2 linked regions of the Sus scrofa genome follow. The protein of the gene in region 2 interacts with the protein of the main gene of each other region in a pairwise test. Links are inferred from orthologs where the notes say so. Each region holds a gene or a part of one and is shown on either strand. Other genes may lie near its edges. The genes, in order: DERA and ALDH16A1.

What was found.
Region 1: the proteins of ALDH16A1 (region 2) and DERA interact in binary tests that used the Homo sapiens proteins (3 or more experiments, as listed by UniProt). The link is inferred for Sus scrofa from reciprocal best matches to the Homo sapiens genes ALDH16A1 and DERA.

The regions. Positions count from the first base shown.
Region 1 is NC_010447.5:56,703,676-56,708,104, forward strand, and holds the start of DERA (deoxyribose-phosphate aldolase), read right to left. Parts: upstream 2,805-4,429; 5' UTR 2,696-2,804; coding exon 2,665-2,695; intron 1-2,664. UniProt on the Homo sapiens protein: Catalyzes a reversible aldol reaction between acetaldehyde and D-glyceraldehyde 3-phosphate to generate 2-deoxy-D-ribose 5-phosphate. Participates in stress granule (SG) assembly.
Region 2 is NC_010448.4:54,532,409-54,536,224, reverse strand, and holds part of ALDH16A1 (aldehyde dehydrogenase family 16 member A1), read right to left. Parts: intron 1,076-3,816; coding exon 973-1,075; intron 1-972.

The sequences.
Region 1 (4,429 bases), on a different chromosome or scaffold from region 2:
AGAGCTACAGCTCTGATTCTACCCCTAGCCTGGGAACCTCCATATGCTGTGGGTGCAGCCCTAAAAAGATTAAAAAAAAAAAAGGAAGGGAAGAGAAATTCATTTCCAAGGGGGGGAAGAGAATAAATTAAGAGTTCGGGATTAAAATATACACACTACTATATATAAAACAGATCATCAACAAGGACCTACTGTAGAGCACAGGGAAACCTACTTAATATCTTATAATAACTTATAATGGAAGAGAATGTAAATATATTTATATATTTATATATGTGTATAAATGAATCAATTTTTTTTTTTTTTTTTTTTTGGTATTTTGTCTTTTCTAGGGCCACACCCGCAGCGTATGTTGGTTCCCAGGCTAGGGGTCTCATCGGAGCTGTAGCTGCTGGCCTATGCCAGAGCCACAGCAACTCAGGATACGAGCTGTGTCTGCGACCTACACCACAGCTCACAGCAACGCCGGATCCTTAACCCACTGAGCAAGGCCAGGGATCGAAGCCACAACCTCATGATTCCTAGTCAGATTCGTTAACCACTGAGCCACTACGGGAACTCCTGAATCACTTTAAATCACTTTACTATATACCTGAAACTAACACAACATTGTAAATCAATTATATTTCAATAAAACATTTAAAAAACATTTTTTAAAGTTAACAGTATTTATTTTAAAAGTCTTGTAATTAGAAAACTCTGTTAAAGGTATCAACTGATATACTGCATAAATGAATAATGATTTCTTCCTTAGTACATAAATATTTCAAATAACTTATACCAGCATTTTTAGCTAAACCTCTGTCTGGATTAATGATTAATACCAGTGAAAGAAAAACACTGTTGGGAGTTCCCATTGTGGCTCAGCAGAAACGAATCCGACTAGTATCCATGAGGATGAGGGTTCGATCCCTGGCCTTGCTCAGTGGGTTGGGGAGCAAGGTGTTGCTGTGAGCTACAGCAGGTTGCAGTAGGCTCGGATTCCGAGTTGCTGCGGCTGTGGTACAGGCCAGCAGCTGTAGCTCCGATTCGATCCCTAGCCTGGGAACTTCCATATACCGTGGGTGTGGCCCTAAAAAGCAACAACAACAAAAAACCCACTCTTGAAATACATCTGATTTCATTTAAACAAAGAAGATAAAACAAAAATATGACCATTTAAATAGCTGTATAAAAATTACATTTACTATTATTTTATATAGCAACTGGCTTTTGTCTATACTATTACTTTTCAACAAATGAATGGATGTGATTCTAATTCTTGCAAATTAAAAAAGTAAAAATGTTATATGCCAATTAAATCTCAGTAAGAAAAAGAAGGCAAAAGGTTTAATTGTATTTCTTGAAAGAAAAACAAACTTCTAAGTGTGGGGGAAGTAACAGTGCATCACATGGTGTACAAAGTCACACTGCCATACCCTGAAGATACCAAGATGACTAAGACCCATAGCCCATCTCTCTGCCCCATCCATCCTCTTTCTGGATCTTCCAATCTAGGGAACTCCTTTATTACTAAAGTCCACATTCCAAAATTAGAACTAGAGTTTAAAATATAATCTCACTGCTAAAGGGCAGTGAGTAAAGGAGAATCAATTTGGTGAGGAAATCGCCTACCTTTATAAAAACAAGCGTTTATCATTCAACAAAGTTCTGGACCATCTCATGAAGTCTAGACTATTTAATTAGTACAGTCACTTTTAAAGAAGAAAGAAAAAAGTACCTTTACATGTTACATGTTATAGCTAATTTTCTCCAAATTGGTCCCTAAAAACAGAACTCTCCTTATAATAGTATTCTATATTTACTTAATACAATGTAAGTACCTGGTAAGTATATAATGTACTCACTATATTAGCAAGTATATAATAGTTTACTAGGTACTCACTCCAAACCACTTTATGAGGTAAGTGCTACTATTATGACCATTTATAAATAAAGAAATTTAAGCATAGATTGATTAAGTTATATCCCAAAGTCACACAGCTAAACTAAAGGTCCAAGATACAGACATGCAAACTCTAATACTTAAACTGAGATCCTTAACCTTTGGCTATGTCATGGTTTTGCTATGTTTGAATTACAAATTTTTCATTTTTTGAGGAAATCAGAACTAATTTTCTTGCCAGAAATATTTGATATCAATGAAATGAAAAAATGGTGAAATAATCCAAGCACTTCTACAAATCTTTGTACCTCTAAAATCACACACAATTTATGCTGTTAATATAGCCTAGACACCTGAGAACTTTTCCAACAGCACATCCACTCTGATACAGCTGTGATAACAATTAACTATAGAAACAGAGCATTAAATCGCACTATTAGGAGTGTGGAAGGGAGGCTTTCATTTGGTTTGTCTGGGGATCTTGGGGATTTGCGCTTTCTTGTTTTGTTTTGTTGTTTGCAACCACGGAGCTAGAAGATGAACTGAGTTGGAACAAGTAAGTCCAAACCTTTCCTATTCCTTAAGCAAAGAAATTTAAACTTTAGAAGCCAAGGCTTAAGGAGGTCCACGTGCCCAAGGGCTGTTTCCCAAATGCCGCCTGTGTCTAGCATCCCAGCGAGCCCCCGAGGCCCCCGTCCAGGGCACCTGACGGCTCAAGGCGGGAGGAGGCAGGGGACAGGGAGCGACGAAGAGGAGAGGGGGCGACCGCGGGCCCTTACCGAGCTCCGTGCCCCGCTGGTGCGCCGACATGGCTGGGCTGTCGCACCACAGCGAACTACCAGGCGCCCGCCAGCCTCAGCGTAGCCTTCCACCTTCCTCCTTCCGCCCGCCCCGCGGCGACTGCGCGCGCGTGCGTCTCGCCCCGCCCCCCGCGCGCCCCGCCAGGGCCACCTCTTCCCGCCTGGCCGCGCGCCCCGCCCTCTCCCCTCGGGGGCGGAGCCAGGGCCCTGGCAGCTCCCTGGGCACATTAGTTATCCCAGGCCCTTTGCTTGGCGAAGGAATACCGCCGCCCTTTTCCTCGTTCTCTCTCGTTAATGAGGAACCCCAGCAATAACTCCTGCAAATAATGCTGCCAGAACTCATGGTCAAATACTTGCCGAATGCATTGAGTAAAAACATTTGGAAACTTTTTGCCGTGGGATTACAGAACAAGAGGGAAGAGGATCCCCACGTGAAGGGGCAGAGGTGATCCCTGACCCTTGTAAGGGCGGCCACCTGGCAAACTGGGGCCCGATCCCTGCGACTTCTAATTTGGGCTTCCTGAAGAGAAGCGGCTCTGTGGCCTGGAAAACTAGGAAGCCCAGGAGTGAGAAGACCTGGGGTCTCAGCCTTGCTCTGACAGCGATTAAGTGTGACACTGGGCCTTCAGCTGCCTTTCAAAGCTTCATTTTCCTCATCTGTAAGAAAGCACCTTGACAACATCTTGGAGTTCTAAAATCCCGATTTTATGGAGTTCCCGTTGTGGCTCAGCGGTAACGAAGCGGACTGGTATCCATGAGGACGTGGATTCAATCTCTGACTTCACTCAGTGGGTTAAGGATCTGGTGCTGTGGTCGCAAGCGGCTTTGTCCAGGGTGTAGGACAGCAGCAGCAGCTCTGATTGGACCCCTAACCTGGGAACTTCCATAGGCCACAACCAAGATAAAAAATAAATAAATAAAATCCTGATTTTGTGATATTAGGAAATTTTTCAATCTGACTTTTTGACCAGGAGGTTAAGTTGTCTGAAGTCACTCAACACAGGCTACTAATCAACTCTGCACTCACAATCAGAAGCTGCTCCACTCTGCTGAAAGAAGGAAAACCCTTAGTTATGACTTGTTTAGGATGAGCCAGTTACTATGCCAGGTACTTTCAGAGAGATTGTAGCATGACAGTGTCAGAACGAACCTACCAAGTATGTATTATATCTGCATTGTTCTACCTACAGACAACCCATGTTCTAAATAGAGGCATTCCAGTGTAGTGGAAACTGGGCAGATTCCTAATGGGTCCAAATGCTTAATACATGAGCAGTTGCACTCAATTTCTAGTTGGTTCTAGGAATGTTACTGCCTGTAAAATGGGACTGATCAAAATAGATTTGATTGCAAAGTTGTATGTGTGTAAAGCATCTAGTACAATACACATCATGGCACATAGTAGGTGCTCAACAAATTAAAGCTATTATGTTATTGTCGGCTTCACACAGCAATTACTGGCTCCATAGGAAAAGCAATCCCAGTCTTATTCCCCTACACAGAGCTGCCTCTCAGCCTTGTAAGCACAAAGCCATTGCTGAACAATTTGAATGTGTCCATATCCCATTCATACATAGAATAGCATTTTACCTATTTTTATCTTCACCCTGACAGCCTGGATTGGCCCGGAATTCACAGCTAGACCACTGTGTTACTCAGCAGAACATAAAACAATTTCACAGAACACAAACATCAGCCAAAGCCATTGTGCCAATGATAAATCAACAAAGACAAGACTACTTGT
Region 2 (3,816 bases):
TTTTTAGGGCCGCACCCGTGGCATATGGAGCTTCCCAGGCTAGGGGTCAAATGGGAGCTGCAGCTGCCAGCCTATGGCACAGCCACAGCAACGCTGGATCCCAGCGGCATCTGCAGTCTATGCCACAGCTTGCGGCAATGCCGGATCCTTAACCCACTGAGTGAAGCCAGGGATCCAACATGCATCCTCAAGTTCTTACCTTGCTGAGCCGCAGTGGGAAGTCTAAATTTTAAAATTTTTAATTTATTATTTATTTCTTTTGGCTGCACCCGTGGCATGCAGCAGTTGTCAGGCCAGGGATCAAACATGCACTACAACAGTGACCTGAGCCATAGCAGTGACAACACTGGATCCATAACCTGCTAGGACACCAGGGAACTCCCAAGGAAGAGATTTATTTATTTATTTGTTTATTGTCTTTTTGCCATTTCTAGGGCCACACCCGCGGTATATGGAGGTTCCCAGGCTAGGGGTCTAATCGGAGATGTAGCTGCCGGCCTACACCACAGCCACAGCAACGTGGGATCCAAGCCGAGTCTGTGACCTACAGCACAGCTCGTGGCAACGCCGGATCCTTAACCCATTGAGCGAGGCCAGGGATCCAACCCGCCACCTCATGGTTCCTAGTCGGATTCGTTAACCAATGAGCCATGACGGGAACTCCCCCAAGGGGGAGAGTTAATAGACGGTGACTTGAAAAAGCGCCCACAGGGATTTGGAGCCATACTGAGGGTGACTGTTATCAGGAGGAGCCAGACACTTTGCGGTACAACAGGAATGATTAGGATGCTGTAATCAATTATACTTCAATAAAACATTAAAAAATGAAAAACAAAAGAGGAGCCAGAAATCTCAGCCTTCTCCCACCAGTTACCCCCTGCCCTAAGGGGGCAAAGAGAATGGGGTGCTGTTGGTGGCTACGTCTGGGGCCCCTGACCCCTCTCCCTCCCAAGCCTGGAGCACATGGCATACCTGTGATGGGATCCTGGCAAGGCACTGAACTCCGGTGTTCTGGCTTTAACCATTTTCCGTTAACATAGTGACCCAAGAGCCGGTCCTGGGTGTCCAGCCAGGCCTGGGGGAGGCAGAGACAGTTTGGAAAGGGGTCTGAGAGGCAGCTGGGGGAGCTCAATTCCTACCCAGAGTCCTCTGGGAGGGGGATACCTGCTCCCTTTGCTACATCAGGTATTTACCTGTGTAGGAGGAAAATACACATAGACATAAAAAAATGCATAACATTCACCAATTCAAAATGTACAATCCAGGGCATTTAGTACATTCACTTCTTTTATCTTTCGCATTTTAGGGCTGCACCCCCAGCATATGGAAGGTTCTCAGGCTAGGGGTTGAACAGGTGCTGCAGCTGCCGGCCTCCACCACAGCCACAGCAACACCAGAAGCTGCGTCTACGACCTACACAACAGCTCACAGCAATGCCCGATCCTTAACCCACTGAGCGAGGCCAGGGATCAAACCCAAGTCCTCATGGACACTCGTCAGGTTCATAACCCACAGAGCCACAGTAGGAACTCCTAGTATATTCGCAGTGTTAATCAACCATCTCCACTATCTCATTCTAGAACTTTTCCATCACCCCAAGAGAAAACTCAGTACCCATTAAGCACTCTCCCTCTTACTGTGACCTCAAGCCCTGGCAACAAGTCATCTACTTTGTATATCTACGGATTTGCCTATTCTGGAATTTCACATAAATGGAATCCGACAAATATGTGACTTTGTGTGCCCGCTTTGAGGTTCATCCACATGGCAGCATGGATCAGAACTTCCTCTCTCTCCCTCTCTTTTTTTTTTGGTTGGGCCCATGGCATGCGGAAGTTCCCTAGTTGGGGATCAAACCTGCACCACAGCAGTGACAAAGCTAGATCCTTAACTGCTAGGCCACCAGGGCACTCCCATGAACTTCATTTCTCTTTATGGATGGATGCTATTCCCTTGTCGGCAGAGACCACATTCTATCCATCCACTCACCAGCGGATGGACATTGGGGTCATTTCCGCCTTGGGCTTTTGTGAATGAGGCTGCTATGAACATCTGAGCACAAGTCTTTGTGTGAATACCTGTGTTTCTTTATTTGGGGCCTGTATACCTCAGAGCGGTGCTCCTGGGTCACAGAGCAATGCCCTGAGTAGCTTACGGAAGGCCCACCAAACTGGTCTCAGCCGCAGCTGCACCATTTCACATTCCCACCAGAAATGCACAAGGGTGGTCCTGTTGACTTTTATACAGGAGAATGTAAACAAAGGATTAATAAAACCTTTTCTTCCCCATAGACAAATGATCTTCTTGAACAGAAATGACTTTCTTCTTTTTTTTTTTTTTTTCTTTTTTGGGCTGCACTGGCAGCATATGGGGGTTCCCAGACGAGGGGTCAAATCAGAGCTGCAGCTGTTAGCCTACGCCACAGCCACAGCCACTGGGATCCGAGCGGCGCCTGCAACCTACACCACAGCTCACGGCAATGCCAGATCCTTAACCCACTGAGCGAGGCCAGGGATCGAACCTGCAACCTCATCATTCCTAGTCAGATTCGTTTCCGCTGCGCCATGATGGGAACAACCCCCCCCCCTTTTTTGGCCACACCTGCAGCATGCACAAGCCCCTGTGCTCATGTTTGTATATCCCCAACTCTTTCAAAAACGTAGGAGTTCCCATGTGGCTCAGTGGGTTAAGGACCTGGTAGTGTCACTGAGGTGGCTCAGGTCACTGCTGTGGTGTGGGGTCAATCCCACATTGCTGCAGCTGTGGCGTAGGGTGGCTGAGAAAGGAAAATATATAAATAAAACTCAGGAAAAAAAAAAGAGTGCTTGTTAATGTGAAAATGGCCTTGTGGTTATGTTACAAAGTGAGTCTTTATCAGTCAGAAATGAAGACTCAAATATTTATGGGAAAATAACGTGACATCTGGGTTTTAACTCATTCCAGAAAAAAAGAGGCCAAAGAGACACGACATTGGATGAAGTGTTGACACTCGTTGGCACTGAGTGATGGGTAAACGGGAGTTCCTAATTTATGTACTCTGTGGATGTTTGCAAAATTTTCCCCCAAAAGAAAAACAAAACCACCAAAAGAATGTTCCACAGGGTCCTGGCAGGCCACACTGGTGTGAGAAGAGGGCCTGGTGGGGAAAAGGAACTCACGCACTGCCCAAAGAGCCAGTTAGCTATTGGGTCCAGATGATTTTTGTCAGGGAATGTGAGGCAAAGGTTGCCAAACTTGGGAATTTTATTTTCAAGAGAAGCTGGAATCCCGGATGTTTACATGGAATCCATTATCTACCAGTTCACATCAAAAAAAAAAAAATCGGTTTCAGGCCAAGAAAACACATCTGTTGTTGAGTCTGGCCCACAGACTGTAAGATTGAGCTTGGGGGAAAGCAGGGGGTGGTGTGCGCTCTGCAATCCCAGGGCTTAGGTTCAAATCCCAGTTTCACCTTTTTTAAAGCTATGTCCACGACAGTTGTCCAATTACTTAACTCTTCAAACCTCTGTGAGCTCAAGGCAATAATCCCCTTTCATAGCTGTTTTGGGGATTAAATGAGATCATGCTAAGCACAGAGGTTGGCACATAGAAAGCACCCAATAAATATAAACTGTTATCACACTACTGCTGTTTCAGGATTTCATCTCTAACCAGCCTCCGAGTATGGGAACTCTCTGTACTCCATCCCATATCCTCTTAGCTGAGTCTACACTATATTTCCAGATCATCTCATTGTCCTATTTTTTTTTTTTTTTCCCATTTTTGGCCACCCTGCAGCATATGGAGCTCCCAGGCTGGGGATCAGTTCCGAGCCAC